Arabidopsis thaliana: one gene and its partners. The protein of the gene in region 1 interacts with the protein of each later gene in a pairwise test. Each region holds a gene or a part of one and is shown in the gene's direction. Other genes may lie near its edges. The genes, in order: PIP3, AT2G17972, ELIP2 and AT5G61630.

Region 1 (5,047 bases):
TGGAGGGGGAATCGGAAAAAGGAATTGCGAGAAACGAGGACCATTATTTAAAAGGATGGAAAAAGACAGATGTTTATGGATCGTTCTAGCCGTTACCAGATACGATACACGTGGGATGATCTGTATGGATTAACGAAGAGATCTGACCTGTCTTTTGCCAAACTGATGTGGAAATTGTGACCTGGATGTTTTAGAGATAAAGATTGGCTGCCCCTTGTGGTAGGTCAGTCCCTTTCTCTGAACTATATAATATACTCAATTTAATTTAACTAGACTAGTTGAAATTGTTGAAGTTCGCTAACCATAATGTACAAAAATCCTTCATGTTCCGGGAAAATAAATCATAATTAACGATAGGTATAGTAGCAGCAAAGATAAGATGGTGATCCATTCTCACATGCAATGATTCGGATGAAGTTTAGCCAAATATTATTATTATCCAACCTCTTCTGCACCACGAAGAGACTTTATTTACGTAATATATTTGATGGTCCAGTACTACTATCCAGACATTATTGTTTTCGTTTCCAAATCATAAAACTTGAAATCTTATTGATTACTACTAGGGTCGATATCTCACTATTTGGAAACCGCAGGCTCCCTATTTATTAGTTTCAAACTCAATTGAAATGAAAATGTGTATTGGTGGTTTTAATGTTTGCACTGCGTAATGTTGCCTGAACTGTATATTTAATAAATTTACCACAACTTAGCAGATATAATTTTGTTATACGAAATCGTATAGTCTTCTTCATGGACAAAGAGGAAGGCAATCATCATTTTCTATGATTGCTCATCGACCTGGCATTTCCATTACCAAAGGCAGCATAATATCAAATCAAATATTTCTTTGTCGTACTTTACTTGAATTAATGATATTATCGTGGGTCGACTTAGGAAGTAAAGTTACTTCCATTTCATATATCTAAATCACATTTGCGTAAAATTTAAGTATTACACAAAGTGATAAAGTAAATTAAGTAATAATTGGCTAGGGATATTAACAAAATAAATAATTTTGATTAGGGCTACGAGGATAAGGACAAACGTCGTATTAACGTATAAAAAATGTGAAAGGAAAAGAGTAAACTAAGCTTTAGATATTAACACTCATTACGGGATTCCTAAATTGCCAGCACTTCGGATTATCCGTCAGTCCACTATTTATGCTAGTTTTTCTTTTCCTTGTGAGCTTGCACTATGGATTTTTCTTTATGCAATTCTCAATCTAAATGACCATTAAACTTTAGAAAAAAATGACCATTAAGTTTTAATGTACATTTGTATCAACTTTCTAATATGCCACGTCCGTATTGCTATATACAAACATAACCATTCAAATTAATATGGCTCTCTCAAAGGAAAAAAATAAAAGGAATAGCAAATGAGTAGATAAATTTTTTGATCAAAAAGAATAAGATGCACTAGTATTAGTATATACTCCCATACATCATTTAACCAAATTTTAAAATTGATTATAATCCATAAATAGTCTTCAAATTTCAACGACAAACACATTAATGTGAGTATAAATTAGCATAGACTACTATATAGTTTATATGCGGGGTGAATGTTTGTCTATACAAGTTTCGTCAAAAAAACGGCACCAACCATAATTAATAGACTCTTATCTTTTGCTGGTATATGAACTCTTTTTAAAAATTGCCGCGAATATACCTTCTTCGTAGATTATTAATCTTTTTCATGTACAGTTGCCTTTAGCAGATTATCATATGTTACAAACATTTGACCTAATTTGAAAAAATGTTACCAAAAAAGATTTGGAAAAAAAGACAAAGATATTGAGATAACCGTTGAAGAGAGTTTGGGATGACAGGCTGACGAGAAAACCATACACCTCATTTCTATCATTAACCCTCACATGGCTTATCTGTACATCTGGACCCCACCACCTTCTACTTTTATCTCCCATTTTTTTTTTCAAATTATTACTACCCAAAAAAATATTCAACAAACCTACAAAAACACATGTCTTATTTTTATTTATTTAAACATTTGTGTATTTATCCCATTGTTCCATATTTATTAGTAGGAAAAATATTCACATTTTACAGAACTGCAAAAGATTTGGCCATGCAAATTATACCCCACTTTGATTGCTATTTTATACACTATATCATACAGTACAAGAACAAAAATTTGATTGGGCCAGTAATAATGCATATAACTATTGATGTTAGCAAGAGAAAAAAATGCATTAAAACACAAATTTGACTATTATTTTGCAGGAACATTCGTGATAATTTTGACTATTATTTTGTCAGTAATAATGCATATTAATCGTATGTGATTTTAACTAAAACTGGAAAGTTCCAAGGAACATTTAGTAGTTTATATTTTTAGTACTAAGTTAGTTTAGAGGGTTATTAACTATTTAATCGTACTAATAATGATTATAAGCAGAATTATGTAGACTATACAAATAGTACGTAATACCGAAAGTACCCTTGGTTTATCCCTGGCATTACAAGGGTTTCCTTTTTCCCCTTTAAAATGGCAGAAGAGATACACTGTCGTCGTCACACAGCACCACAAACTCCATAGCTAGCTAGAGAGTAAAAAGAACAAAGATGTCGAAAGAAGTGAGCGAAGAAGGCAAAACCCACCATGGAAAAGACTACGTGGATCCTCCACCAGCTCCTCTTCTCGACATGGGTGAGCTCAAATCCTGGTCTTTCTACAGAGCTCTCATCGCTGAGTTCATCGCTACACTCCTCTTCCTCTACGTCACCGTCGCTACTGTCATCGGCCACAAGAAGCAAACCGGTCCTTGTGACGGCGTTGGTTTACTTGGTATCGCTTGGGCTTTCGGTGGTATGATCTTCGTCCTCGTCTACTGCACCGCCGGTATCTCTGGTAAGTTTGAATCCCACCAAAAACCCTAACTTTTACTTGTTTGGTTCGTTGGTTTTATTGTTAATCTCGTTCTTGTTCTCGTCTTCTCGTAGGTGGTCACATTAACCCAGCTGTGACTTTCGGTCTGTTCTTGGCCCGTAAGGTCTCTTTGGTGCGAGCTCTTGGTTACATGATAGCTCAGTGTCTTGGAGCCATTTGTGGTGTGGGTTTCGTGAAAGCTTTCATGAAAACTCCTTACAACACTCTTGGTGGAGGAGCTAACACCGTAGCTGACGGTTACAGCAAAGGAACTGCTCTCGGAGCTGAGATTATTGGAACTTTCGTCCTTGTTTACACCGTTTTCTCTGCAACTGACCCTAAGAGAAGCGCTCGTGACTCTCACATCCCCGTAAGTCTCAAAAAGCTTGAATCTTTAATTGAGTTTTTTGACAAAGTTACTATGAATCTGATTGGGTCTTTGTAGATTATGATAAAGGTTGAATCTTTTTAGGATTTAATGATAAAGTTAGTATGAATATAAAATGGGTCTTTGTAGATTCTGATGAAGTTTGAATCTTTTTATGGTGTAATGACAAAGTATGTATGAATCTCTAAGGATCTTTACTTTGTAGATTCTGATAAAGTGTGGTGGGTTTTCTTGTGATTAGGTTTTGGCTCCACTTCCAATTGGATTTGCTGTGTTCATGGTGCATTTGGCTACTATCCCCATTACTGGAACTGGTATCAACCCAGCTAGAAGCTTTGGTGCTGCTGTTATCTACAACAACGAGAAGGCGTGGGATGACCAAGTAAGTGTTTAGTTATTATCTGGATTAGGTATTCACTAATCATTCATGACTTCATGTCCTAATGTTGGTTCTGTGTTGGTTTTGGTTTTGCAGTGGATCTTTTGGGTTGGTCCGTTCTTGGGAGCACTAGCTGCAGCAGCTTACCACCAATACATATTGAGAGCTTCAGCAATTAAGGCCTTGGGCTCGTTCCGAAGCAACGCAACCAATTAATGAAGGCTTTTTTTAAGATAATGTCAAGAAACAACTTTAAGATTTATATGCTTTAATTATTATTTGTTGTTCTTTTGTGTGTAATGAGAGAGATGGTGGATTGATGTTAATTATGAAATGGCTCAGTGACTTCTATTTCCTTCTTTAGTTTTTGATTGTCTTTGTTAATCGTTTGCCTTTGGTTTCTCTTAGTAGTTACAAATTCATGTTTTCTCTTCATGTCAGTTCGTAAATATCGAACAATCCAAGTTGGAATTTATTATTCACAACATCACAAGATCCTTCAATGTACATTATTACAGCTAGCGTCCAATTAAGATACAAATTTCGGCTGAACATGGTGTGTGGGTCTTTTGGTTATTATCCTCGTGTCGACTCTAAACCATCGGGTCATATGTAAACCATTCATTAATTGACACGTGTTGAGAAGGAAATATTGGATTCCATTTGCTATGTGGTTACATTTTCGTTAGTTGACAAGAAAACAACTATTTTCGCTCCATTTGCTTTAGTCTTTTTTTTCGATGTTACTTGTTAGAATTAGTATTGTTTTTAAAAGAAAAAGAACTCGTGCGAGTACCTTTTGTTGTTTTTGTGAAAGGATAAAAAGGAGTGGAGCCAATAGAGTTGTAACAACCAGACAAGAAACGAGACATTAAACCCATTTTTTCCACCGCACTCTAACTTTTCTTAGGCCGCGTGTCGCGTAGCTCATGTGTTTATCACATGGGTAACTTTTCTGCGTCTAGTTACCGTATTGTTATTGTTATTGTTATATAGTAGACTCCTTTTGGCTAAGAGTCTTTAGACCCACCCAAACGCATATGTGTTTGGATGTATTAGGAAATTATTTGTATAAAAGACTTTACCAACTTAATTGAATAATGCATTTGATTAAAGAGAGAAAAAAAAAAGAAAATGCTCATGGAAGCAATAAGCACTAAATTTGTCTATGGGATGTAAATTGCGACAGTGAGAGTTGGCTTTAAAATAGTATGAATACAAATACGAATTTGTCTACATGGAATAGTAGTAATAATTCACGTCTCGTCTTTTCAGAAAAGTGAATGCAGAGGAGACAGAGAGAGAGAGAAGGACCACAACGATGGCCTTCACGCTTTTACTGGTTAATACGCCTAGTGTCTCAGTTTTAATTTTAAATACTTAGC
Region 2 (4,115 bases), on another chromosome or scaffold:
TAAATGTAATTGATATCCTGTTGAATAGAACCGGGAAGAAACATACTCATAAGAGAAAAAATGTTTGTTTATAGAAGAAAATTGATGCAACAATATTTATAACCTTTTTGTAGGAACTGCAGGTACACAGTGCTTAGCTACATCAGCTCCATTTCCATTTAACACCAGAACTGATCTGATAAATATGAAAATATCCAAAAAAAACAGTCTTTGATTTCATACTATTCGACAAGGAATGGCCGAAAGTTTTGAAACTGGGAATTCTTACGAACTTGCTTACCCCACAGGAAGCGGTATTGAGTATGAACCCGAGAAGTCACCAGGACCCTCAACTTTCAGGTTTGAGCCAAAGAGGATATCGCATTCACTGAGGAAAGAGATGGTACAGAAGGGACGGAGAAAGTCGTGGTTGTCGATGTGAGGAGGTATGCAGTCACCTTCATCATAGATGTTCACAATGCAGCTATCGGGCACACAAGTTGGAGGCAGTACATGCCATTTAATCAACTTTCTAATGATTACTTTGAAAAGATGAGGTAGTGGATCCACTTCTTCACGTTGAAGGATACCCGGTGGGTTTCCAGCTCTGTCCTATCAACCCAAAATACAAGAAGGCAAAACTCTTAACTCCTTTTTTAAGAATGAAACAGATTAATGAAAGTATGACAGAGAACGTTACTTACTGGAGCGTAGTTGTAGCAACAGCCAAATTGTATAGTCTCACGTCCTTTTCCTCTCATCCACTTATGTGGAGCAGTAAATGTACGCTCTACAGAGAGAGAACAAGACAAGATTCAGATTAAAAATAGGTCACAAGTTAAGATAAGAGCATTTTCAGATCAAAACAAGAAGTTACTTTTAAGTTCTCCTCTTCGTCCCTTCTCTTGAAGTTGATACACTTGATCAACAATCCGTTTCTGCTCCACTGCGCTAAAAACACCAGTGTGCAACTCAAGTCCATCAAGCACGTTAACAATCTTTCCCTTAACTCTCTCCAAGCAAATAAAGTCTTTCTTTCTCTTCACATTAATCAGCCTGAGATTCTCTCTCTGATCTCTAGACAACTTAGGCTTCTCTGGAGTCTTCATCGAACTCGCATCAAAACCTTTCCTACTCGAATCCCTCTCCTCTTCCTCCTCCTCCTCCTCCTCATCGAACTCATCCTCTTGTGCCATATCAGCCCAACGCATACGAGGGCTTGCTGTTTCAACAACAGCTGGTCTAGATTGCAATACACTACTAAAATCTTCAGGAAAGGAACCAAATACAATTTCACTTCCCTTCCAACTACCTAACGAATGATTATCACAGTCTTCGCCATTTTCCGACTTCTCATCATAATTATCATCCACATTGTTACTAGCTCTTTCTGATCCCATATTTTCCACCACTGAACAAGAACCAGTTTTACACTCTCCATCAACTTTGTCAGTGTTGTTACTACAATGTGCTACACATATGGAAACATGATTTCTCATAAGCAACTCCACATCATAACTTAATTCACAAATTTAGAAACGTACTTGCTACTCTCTCGCCTCCTATTTGTTCCAATTACCAAACCCTAATTTTGTAACCTTATCATTTAGCAGAACATCAATCAAAAAAGCAGAATCAAGTACAATAATGAAGAAAATCTCCGCTTTCTATACAGAATTTCAATATCCATAGAAACCAGAAAGTCTCTCGCCTCTAAGAAAAAGTTGAGAATCGTTACCTGGGTCAAGAGAACGGATTCGATTGGAGAGAAGGTGATTACAATCCTTGCATAGATCTTTAGATAAAAAAGGAAGCCAATTCGTCAGAAACTCCGAAGCGATCTTAAGCTCCGACGGCTGGTACTGCCGGAGAAATGGATCGTTTTCCATGAGATACGCTCGATACAATCCAAATCTAGTACTCTTGTTACAGAAAATTCAAATTTCCTAGTCCACGATTTGAAATCTAGTACTCTTTTGTCAGTGTGGATTCTGTGACGGTACACTTGTAAATTCTAGTATTAACCAAACAAGGGTAATATCGGTATTTAAGCAGCCAATTAAAGCTCTTGGGCCGTTTAAAATTCTTAAAAGCCCATTAATTTCGAAACGCCACCTGTCGAGACATAATTGGGTCAGAGGATTTTAACGGTGGAAGATGAAGAAGCTTATCTTTTTGCAAAATCGTTTCTTCCTTCATTCATCATAGCTTCAAAATCTTAAAAACAACAACAAAAATGAAAAGTCTCCACTTTTTAGCTCCCAATTCAACGATTATCAATCTGAAGCAACAATCTTATACAAAAACCAAGTTCCAGTTGCATCGTAGCAACAGAAGAACTCTATCGATAAACTGCGTAAACAGTGGCGGTGATGAAGAGAAGATTACTCAGCCGTTGGATGGAGTGGAGATAAGATTCAAAAGAGGATCCAGAAGGAAAATGAGGGAAGAGGGTTCAGGAGAAGGAGGAGGACAAAGCGGGAAGAAAAAAGAGACTGTTCAAAAGCCATGGGAAGAGATGACATTGAATGAGAAGGCATTGGAGCTTTATGTTGGAGAGAAAGGTTTGTTGTTTTGGCTAAACAAATTGGCTTACGCGTCGATATACATTGTCATTGGAGGTTGGATTTTTTTCCGGTTTGTTGGACCGGCGTTTAATCTTTATCAACTCGATACACCGCCTCTTGATCCTAAGAACATCTTAAAGGGTTAAGAAATGCTTTGTAGCTGTGTCTGCATTCTCTGTTCCAAAACATTTTGAGGCTTATATATTCAAGTTAGTTTCGAGTAATGTGTAGCCATGTCTCACTAGATTAAGATACACAAGAGAACAACACTCTTCATGAATTTTCAAGATTGTTCTGTTGGAGTTATGTCCTGATCAAGGATATCTCGTGTAGTCTTGCACCTGACATGGAAAAGAAAATATTTTTTTCTTCGGCTTTTTGTTTACCTTAACTCAATGCAAAGAATCAGAATTATTAACTGAAAAAACTAGATTAAAACTCACCTATTGCACTCTGCTCGTGATGCATAATTGTGATTCTTGCAATTTGTACACATCCAGTCGCCATCACGCCATTGTTTCACTCTAAGAAATCAGACAACACAAAGAATTGGGAAGGTTGCAAAAGATCACGCCATTGTTCTAGCGTTTAGAAAACAAGAAAACAATGGAGACCAGAGATCAATACAGTACCCCATTCCAAGTAAAGCAGGTGTTGAGTGTTGTTGTAGAAACGGGAGAGGAAGTTGCCAATTTGAGACCCTTCCTAGGCTCATACCAGGAAAAGATGCATATATCGCTGACTGTGTTTGCATGCTTGTCTGCACAACGAGCCAGAAGAAACAGAGGTTGGTTAAGCAGCAAGTAAAATTGATGAATGTACTAATCAATTTATGCGCTCTAACTAATCCTTACATATCCTTGATTCAGTCTTTTGCTATCCCATTCATGAGCCAAAGCTTCTGATGCTAATCTCTTTGTACCAAGGGCTGCAACCCAAAATAAACTTTCCCATATTAAAACTCGTGAAAGGATTATCAGACACCTTCGGGTTATATAAGATTGCACGCGCATCGGTCTTAGACAAAAACCTTACCTAGTGGAGCTATTTCATTGCACTTTTTGCACTGCAGAGACATACAAAACAGAAATGAGTAAAACAACAAGCCGGAATCTGCAAGTCGGTTTTGCATTGTGAACCCATTTCCTCACCTGTATACGAGAGGAATAATTGTGAAAACCACATCTGCAAATCCAGTCACCACTCCTCCATTCTTTATGAACCGAAGCTTGATTTGTAGCGTTAGAGAATGCGAGTAAAGAACCAGGTTGATCATGTGACTCAGGTCCACGGGTGAAGTAATGGAGATGAGTTTGAAGAGAAGCTCCAGGGATAGCAAGTGCTGACAATGCTGCTACTTCCTTAGATTGCCCACATTTCTTGCACTTTTCTCGTGATGCATAATTGTTGTTAGTACAACCTATTGCCACACCACACCACACCACACACCCAAACGCAAAACGTAGAACGAAGAAGATACACACGCACGCACACCACAACACACCCACCAGCAAATTCCATATACCACATAACACAGAATACACAAAACAGCTCAACCTAGTTATAAGT
Region 3 (4,204 bases), 8.3 Mb from region 1:
GTCGTCCCCGGGTTTCACGGGGTTACAATAAGAGAAACAAAATGGGCCACATAATATTTATTTATTTAGTGATTCTGTCGTTTAAAAAAAAATTAGTTTAACACATTGTCAAAGTTTGAACTAAGGAACTTGTAACTCAAATACTGAAACTTTAACCATTAGACTACATTTTTATGCAAATTCGGCCAAAACTAAATAATAATATGATTAGCGGCCGCAAGCTTATGTTTTGCTTGCTTGGCCTTGTGGCCGGCTAAATAACCTAAGTATATAATCAATAAATTACATAAACGACCGGATAAATCAGAACTTAATTATAATGTTAAAAGTAATTAAATGAATGATGACCCTCGTCGTCTCTCCTCTTAAAACACAATAATCTCATAAATACAATTTTTATATGAAGTCTTCACAAACTACTATAAATTTCCCAAAGTTGTTCTCTCTCTTTGTCCACTCGAAGACTCATGGGGATAAGAAGGCACTCGTGTTATGGGCTTCGGGGCTTTTTATTGTTCGCCCTTTCGAGGACCTTCTCACATGTTTGGACTTTTGAGTCTAAATGCCTTATTTCCTCACGAATGACGTGAACATTTTTTCGTCCTGAACTCAAAAGTATCAATTACACACTTCACACTACTAATGGTCAAGTTTTTTCGTATTTGAAACTACAAATGTAAGTAATATATGCGATAAATTTATTATCCTCTGCTAGTAAAATCCATTAAAAAAAACTACCAATGTGGGTGTATGTTTTCTTTCAGTATATATAAAGAGTTTTCGCAGAGAGCACATATCGATGGTGGTACATCAAATCTGATCATTCATATCTAAATAATTGTTGTTGAGTTTTCTATATGTGTGGAACGTTAGATTGCTTAAGCTAGAAATTGACACAAGAGTTTGATCACCGAGTTCCTGCCTCCTGGCCTCTAACCGGTACGTCTCGGGTGGGAACTGTCTCCCACAACTTTTCACTATCAAGCAAAAAGTATTACAAGCACTAATAGAGGTTTCTCTTCTCCTTGTTACAAATTTAGAAATTAACTCACACACAAAAGACAATAGAAAAGGAGACTATACCGACACGAAGACTATGCCCATATCTTCACAATTGTGCTATTATTTACCGTTCTAATCTGGAAAAAAAAACAGCGCACGTAGGAGAATTGGGCACGAAGACATGAATGGGACACATAAAGGATCAAAAGAGTCATCATGGGTCTGCCATGATGAAAGTTAAGAAAGTTCCAATACGCGCGAAACAAGATTGAATGCGACTTCTCTCTATACCAAAAACGAATCTCCCAAGTCCCAAGTGAATATTGTGAGCCACTAACTTGTTATTAACATTTTGAGACAAAAAAAAAATTTGTACGTGTTTTTGCCAAACCCACTTGGCCATGACCAATCAGAAAAAGACAAGGAAGATGTGTATCTATGTGTAATGAGGAGGCCACGCCATCAGTTTACTTGCACTTTTCCAACTAGACGTGGCCTCTCACCGATCTCAACCTCACTTTCCTCTCATTTCTCAAATTTTATTGGCTACGTGTTTTTGTGTTTAGCGTTCAACCCAAATATCGATATATTCTTCTTTTTTTTTCACATTTTTAACGATTTCGAGCAAAATAATTCGATTTATTTGTATAATTTTAATATGGTAGTTTTACAAATAATGAAACGAATGACCAACTGATTTGTTAGGTGTTACAATAAATATGGAAAAAATCTCATAAGTTTGAAAACATTTATTCTGAGGAAACTTTTTCTTCCCCAAAAGAAAAAAAAAGTTTAAAGTGGAAAAAAGAAAAAAAAGGAATAAAAAGTTTGAATTCAGTTTTTTTCTTTTCTTTGATAGATTTCTTTCTACTTATTTATTACTCTACTACACACCACACAAAAACAAAAATAAAATAAGTAATCATAGTATCCCATAAATCAGTAAAGATAAATAAAATCCAGAAAATACTGGGCCTATCATTTTCCTTCACCAACTCTATAAATGAAGAGATAATCCTACAGTTACACCTCAAACCAACTCCATCTCACTTCTCAAGTCTTATAATTTATTCATTTCTCTCTTCTTCATCGATCTTCGGCTTTTAGAAAACCTAATCAGAAATGGCAACGGCGTCGTTTAACATGCAGTCAGTGTTCGCTGCTCCTTCCGGTGTATTGACTACACGCAACATCAGAAACACAAACCAACTCTTCTTCAAGAGGATTGCTCCGGTAGGAGTCAGATGCATGGCTCAGGTATATATACACTAACCTCATAGTCCTTCCACTTCCCTACGTTACTTATTTGACTTTTAATCCTGACCGTTCCTTACATTGACTATTTTTTTAGGGCGATCCTATCAAGGAAGATCCTTCTGTGCCCTCGACCTCGACTTCGGCCACTCCACCACAAATGCCACAGTCTCCTCCTCCACCAGTTAGCAAGCCTAAGGTATGATCTAATGATCAAAGTCATTAATATATATCACTAGCTAAAAAAATGAAGCTAATGAATAATTTTCTTATTGTCTAGGTGAGTACGAAGTTTGGAGATTTGCTAGCGTTTAGCGGTCCAGCACCCGAGAGGATCAACGGGAGACTAGCAATGGTTGGATTCGTGGCGGCCATCGCCATGGAGTTATCAAAGGGAGAAAACGTGTTTGCTCAGATCTCTGACGGTGGTGTCGGGTGGTTTCTAGGAACAACAGCGTTGTTGACGTTGGCATCGATGGTTCCGTTGTTCAAGGGAATAAGGGCAGAGGCAAAGTCAAAAGGGTTCATGACTTCAGACGCCGAGCTATGGAACGGTCGGTTTGCGATGCTCGGTCTCGTTGCGTTGGCCTTCACCGAGTACGTCACTGGTGGGACTCTAGTCTAAAGCTAAAGCTTTTTGTTTGCTAGTTTAAGGACAAATTTGGAGAATGATTATGTAACGCATAGATTGATTTAATACTATGAGTTTTAAACAGTGTGTCAACATGAATCAAAATTTAAAACCATGAAAAAAACATTATAAAAATTTATTTGAAAAAGTACTTCAAAAGTTTTCTTATAAGATAATGTGAATGGAGAAGAAGAAGTAAAAAATAAATTTTAGCTTCTATCCAAGGTTTGAGAGTTTATGCATTCTTTTGAAATGAATCAAGAGCCAAGAATAATTAATTATGCTCTTCCTTGTTATTATCGACCAATAGAGTCATCATGTGTCTGCCATAATGAAAGTAAAGCAAGTTCCAAGACGAAACGAAATTGAATGCGATTTCTCTCTAACAAATCACCTCATCTCAATTCTCAAGCCCATGGGTTAGTCTCATCAAAGCCCAATCAAAGCGTCAATGCTTCCCAAGAACAAAAAAAAATATATTAAGATGAACAAACAAAAAAACACTTAAAAGAGGAAAGATCTGGCCACTACAACACTACACGATAGTACGATCGATGAATATAATCGGAAAGATTTGAGTGGCTCAATTACATATTGCTTATACGACGTCGTTTTGAGTAGCATCATTTCGTTAATATTTATGTAGGAGACTGAAACAAGACAGAGAAAAGAGAATCTCCGAGGAAAACAAAAGTTGATGGCGACGTCTAAGCTTCAAGCTCTCTGGAATCACCCGGCAGGACCAAAGACAAGTGAGTTATCACATTGTTTCATCAATAATATATTACTCTTTCTTCTTCCGTTTCAATTAAGACTCTATTGAAACGTTACTATTGGAAAATGTTGAATTGTTTATAGTACAGTTCTTGACAAAAAAAAATCTATATCACTTTAAATCCTCTAATGAATAATATATTCTAATTGTAAACAGTTTCTCTCTTTTTTTGTTGTTGTTGTTGTTGGGTATTAATCAGTTCATTTCTGGGCTCCAACATTTAAGTGGGGTATAAGCATTGCTAACATTGCAGATTTCCAGAAACCTCCAGAAAATATTTCGTACCTTCAGCAAATTGGTAAATAACTACTACTCTTCAGAAATCTCTAATCTTTCTTGTTACAATTATTGTTATAAACATATTATCCATAATTATTGTATTAGCTGTGACATGCACTGGAATGATTTGGTGTCGTTGCAGCACTATAATTACTCCTGTAAGTTTTGTTTGCTTTTCGAGTTTTACTTTTGTGATTGGATTCTTGGTTTTGGTTTATCGATCTGATTCTTTGGACTTTTGTTTTTTTTTAACAGAAAAACTG
Region 4 (4,406 bases), on another chromosome or scaffold:
CTAACGCAATGTTCAAAATTTTGCCTATTTCCGTTTTGATTTGTTTGGATGAAGAATGTTTTCTATCATTTTTAATTTGATTTTCCAAATTAGAGTTCACTTTGGTTTGGATCAATTTAACCCTTTAAGTTAGAGCCTAGTACACTAACTAAAACTGATGCTGAGTAAAAGACACTAAAAAATCATTTTACGTTTTACTCAAACTAGTTTTGATGAATCTTACAAGAACAAATTCAATCGAGAACATCCAAACAATACTATATACCTAAAGGATTGAACACTTAAAAAGTTTTATGAACAAGAACAAGTTACATAAGTAGCCTCGGCTTCTTTATTTTTCAACGATAATTGCTATAATCTATCATAGATAAGTGGAAGCATCCTCTGCTTTCGGTTAGAAGCAAGGCTTTTACCCGTAGCAGCGGATTGGGTCGTTGCAGCCTTTTTCCGTTGATTGCTTAAGACCAAACCTCCCTCCTTTAGACAAGTATTGCTGGTGATGTTCCTCAGCTCTATAAAATTTCTTAGCCGGTAAGATCTCTGTCACAACCTTCCTGTCAACTTGTTGCTGGTGCCGCTCCAGTGACTCGCGTGCTAGTTTCTCTTGCTCCGGGTTGTAGAAATATATCCCTGAACGGTATTGGGTTCCCACATCATTTCCCTGATCAGATAAGGATGTACTCATTAAAACAGAGAAACAAATTCGAACATAATGCACGACAAGCAGATAAACTACCAAATAAATAGTGATTCTGCATAAGAGCTGGTTAAGTGCTCTCTAAGAAACTACCAAAATACACATAAGGATGGTTCAGTGACCAAAGATGACAAGAACGATAGCCAAATTCACATCCTTATCAAAGAGAAGATGTATGAGTCTCTCTGTTCAGTTTCAAACATAAAACCTAAATTTTGTACCAACAGAACATGAAATGAATCCAAAGTATTACATCATCCAAACCCTAGATTTCAATCTATTTAGAGCTCAATATTTCAAGCAAGCCCTAGAAACCCTAGAAATCTTCCTCAATCACCAAAATCAAAACTTAAAACTCACAAAATCAGACATTCTAAAGAGCAAAACTTTCGTTACCTGCCGATTCAAAGTGGTGGGATCATGCTTAGACCAGAACAAATCAAGCAGCGACTGGTAACTACACTCTTTTGGATCATATTGAACACGAACAATCTCGGCATGATTCGTGGTACCTGAACAAACATCTTTGTAAGAAGGATCGTGAGTGATCCCTTGAGAATAACCAACCTCTGTTTGAGTCACTCCTGGAACTCTCTGGTACGCTAATTCCACGCTCCAGAAACAACCGGCGCCGAATTGAGTAAACTGGTTTCCCGGCGCCGGAGCTTCGTCGTCGATTACTTGTGCGATTGGAGAAGGATCCATGTTGGTTTGTCTACTTGATCCTATACCTAGCTTGTTAAGTATGTTCATGGAGAAATTTTGTAGAGAGAGCGAAACAGAGAAACAGAGGAAAGTGGTGAAGAGGAAACGTCGGCTGATTCTGCGGAACATTTTGTACCAAATTCTGACAGGTATAAAATTCGCGTTTGCGTTTACGTTTTGAATAACGATAAAAATAATTTTAGAAACCAGTTTTGGTTGACATTTCATTCAAGCAGTTCAAATTGACAATCTTTAAAATCTTTTTTTTTTTTTTTTTTTTAATCTTTAAAATCTTAAAACTAAGATTAGTTAGTTTCAAGCATGATCAAATCATATGTTTATAAAATGTCACAGAAATAGAAGAAGAAAACAAAGAATCTAAAGAAATGGTTGTTTTTGTCACTCTCAAATGGAAAAATGAGTGATTAGATTGAACGATTTGACAAAGTCCTTATTTCGATCCAAATGTACCAAAACCATAGGCTCTAAATTCGCAATTCAATCCGGATTCTTTTTTCTTCTAAGAAATAAAAAACTGTGACTAAAATGTAACAAAGAAACTGATTAAGCTCAAAAACCATCAACATCCTAAAAACGTAATTTCTATAGAGTTTTTGGAACACACCTATCAAAACCAAAAATACTTATCAAAATGTATAGATCCGCGAGCTGGAACCGAGTGCCAGAAGACTACTCATCCGCACCGCCTAAGGGATTGTGGATGGGCTCGGTGATCGGTCCCCTCGACGAGAACGAACTACCTTCCTACAATAATCCACCAGAGGAGATGGTTAAGAAGGAGAAGTCACGTGCCAAATTCGCAGAAAACGCCATTCACATCATACCATTTGTTCTCCTTGCATGCGCTCTCGTACTTTGGCTCTTCTCAAATCCAGGTATATACAATTAGTGAGCCAAAAACATGCTTGTGTTTGATCAAACCATGCCCGGTTTTAAAGTGAAAGAAAAAACATGCATGTTGTTAACCACGAACTCATCCGCAATAATCCAACATGATCAAATTGGATTGCAAATGGTAGAGAGATCATGTCTGCATTTGGCGGTTGTGAAGTTGGGAAATATTTTATGTAACTGTTACATGTTGATACTTTATTCTTTGTGGCACTTATAACATCGATCCAAATTTTGAAGATGTGGATGTTGGGATGAGAGAAGAATCTATTGCGGCTAAGATTGAAGGATTGACGATCGAAGGAGACATCGACAATGATAGCGATGGAACTCAGACCGGTTTCTTGGGTGCCACCTTAGAACTCGGAGATCCTGACAAACCAAACCTCACTGATAGAACCAGACGAGCTTCTAGGAAATTGATCAAAGGATTTTACTAGTTAATCAACACCATTTTTTTAATTTTCTCCCAATGAATGTTGATTTTACTCAATAAACTTCACCAAAACTAAGATTTTTTTTGTTTTGTTTTTGGTTGATAAAGAAGCAGCTAAATATAAATCCAAATATATCTATATTCTTATTTAATCTAATCTGGGAAGAAATAAAAATGATACATAATCCGATTGGCAAAACTTTTGAATATGGAGCTATATATTCAAATAAAACTCAACACCAAAAAAAAGAAGCAATATACCTATATCATGCTTAAATAAACACACAAAAAATGAGATTTCATTTCACATGAATAACGCCATGACCAGTCAAGTCAGAAGCTCCAGTAGCTTGTGGAGGCAAACCGATATGAAGATCCAAACCGTCTTTATTTGTCATATTAGAAGCTTCACTCGGTTGAGACAGAGGCAAACCAATCGGTATATGTCTTGGAACAGGTATACCAGAAGGATGAACAAACCTAACCGGTACTTGAGGGTTGGCATAGTACATTGGATAATTTGGATGGTACATAATAGGTGGAAAGTTGTAGTAAGGTGGTATGGGTTGGTAGATTGGCATATACTCCATTGATAAATTCTGAAACCTGTTCGAAATCTCGGTTTGAGTATGACCTTGTACTACCGGTTGTTGAATTCCGGTTATTGGTTGTTTAGGTGGAGTCTTTGTTGAAGCATCTTGAGAGTTCCTCTCTTTCTCCTTCTGTTTAATGAAAAAACAATTAAACCCTAAATTAAAAAATAGCCCTAGACAAATCAATTGACTCAATGGATTACTTGAGAAACAAGGTAAATAAGTACCTGATCTTCGAGAGAGATGTCAAAGAGACTAGCACGTCTTTTTCTCTTGTCGTTAACGTTTAACCTAATAAAATATTTCTGAGCATGACTTGCGACTTGTGTTGGTGTTCTTGTCGACACGAAACTCTTTGCAATGCCTCTCCAATCTCCTTTTCCGAGTTTGTTTAAACCGATTAAGAAATTACGATGTTCTTCTTCCGTCCATGGCTTCCCTGAATTTGATTTATTCTTATTAATTTCATTGAATTTAGATTATCAAATTGATGAGATTAGAAGATTACGTACCCTTTTTCTTCTCATGAGCAGTTTTACCCTTCTTGGAATGAATCTGACCATCGGAATGATAACCGGTATCATCAACGGCGGCGATAGGATCACCGCTACCGTTACTTTCATCGTTAGCGAGAAGAGCATCAAGGTTTCCCAAACTAAGACTCTTCCTTAACGCCGTTACCTCAGGCGGCCTAATCGGATCAGACGATATATTAACGCCGAACAGTTTAACACTTGCCTTATTAACGCCGTTGAGACAAGTCCGTGCGTTATGGCCATTATGGCCACAGTGTGAGCACGTTTTCGCCACCGTCACCGTCTCCTTCACCATCTCTCTCTCGCCACCAATGTTTTCGGTATCACAAGAATTAGAATCACAAGATCTCGCTAATTGTATTTATACCTTAAACTCTCTTGTGTAATGATATATATATATATATATATATATATATATATGCGGATATGCGTGAGCTGTTATTTGTGAATGTCCTTGGTGTTTTTACATTTTTTTATTTTCCTTAAGAGATAAAGCGTTTCCTTAATTATCTTGTTTTATTTGGAAG

The links.
Region 2: the proteins of PIP3 (region 1) and AT2G17972 interact in a protein complementation assay, tested with the Arabidopsis thaliana proteins (one large-scale study listed by BioGRID).
Region 3: the proteins of PIP3 (region 1) and ELIP2 interact in a protein complementation assay, tested with the Arabidopsis thaliana proteins (one large-scale study listed by BioGRID).
Region 4: the proteins of PIP3 (region 1) and AT5G61630 interact in a protein complementation assay, tested with the Arabidopsis thaliana proteins (one large-scale study listed by BioGRID).

The regions. Positions count from the first base shown.
Region 1 is NC_003075.7:16,706,081-16,711,127, forward strand, and holds PIP3 (plasma membrane intrinsic protein 3), read left to right. Parts: upstream 1-2,280; 5' UTR 2,281-2,591; coding exon 2,592-2,877; intron 2,878-2,969; coding exon 2,970-3,265; intron 3,266-3,524; coding exon 3,525-3,665; intron 3,666-3,758; coding exon 3,759-3,878; 3' UTR 3,879-4,327; downstream 4,328-5,047. UniProt on the Arabidopsis thaliana protein: Water channel required to facilitate the transport of water across cell membrane. May be involved in the osmoregulation in plants under high osmotic stress such as under a high salt condition.
Region 2 is NC_003071.7:7,819,409-7,823,523, forward strand, and holds AT2G17972 (uncharacterized protein), read left to right. Parts: upstream 1-2,176; 5' UTR 2,177-2,215; coding exon 2,216-2,692; 3' UTR 2,693-2,829; coding exon of another isoform or gene 2,830-2,887; 3' UTR 2,888-2,922; downstream 2,923-4,115. Other genes in the region: AT2G17970 (2-oxoglutarate (2OG) and Fe(II)-dependent oxygenase superfamily protein), read right to left, coding at 1-17, 104-175, 281-591, 684-769, 857-1,450, 1,718-1,868; AT2G17975 (zinc finger (Ran-binding) family protein), read right to left, coding at 2,830-2,887, 2,990-3,070, 3,179-3,306, 3,401-3,474, 3,582-3,612, 3,698-3,966.
Region 3 is NC_003075.7:8,416,249-8,420,452, forward strand, and holds ELIP2 (Chlorophyll A-B binding family protein), read left to right. Parts: upstream 1-1,993; 5' UTR 1,994-2,124; coding exon 2,125-2,259; intron 2,260-2,353; coding exon 2,354-2,455; intron 2,456-2,536; coding exon 2,537-2,881; 3' UTR 2,882-3,077; downstream 3,078-4,204. Other genes in the region: AT4G14695 (Uncharacterized protein family (UPF0041)), read left to right, coding at 3,585-3,639, 3,862-3,960, 4,047-4,099, 4,197-4,204. UniProt on the Arabidopsis thaliana protein: Probably involved in the integration of pigments into the mature light-harvesting pigment-protein complexes.
Region 4 is NC_003076.8:24,772,151-24,776,556, reverse strand, and holds AT5G61630 (uncharacterized protein), read left to right. Parts: upstream 1-1,978; 5' UTR 1,979-2,054; coding exon 2,055-2,298; intron 2,299-2,554; coding exon 2,555-2,754; 3' UTR 2,755-3,049; downstream 3,050-4,406. Other genes in the region: PMSR1 (peptidemethionine sulfoxide reductase 1), read right to left, coding at 410-661, 1,094-1,531; AT5G61620 (myb-like transcription factor family protein), read right to left, coding at 3,050-3,472, 3,571-3,782, 3,856-4,174.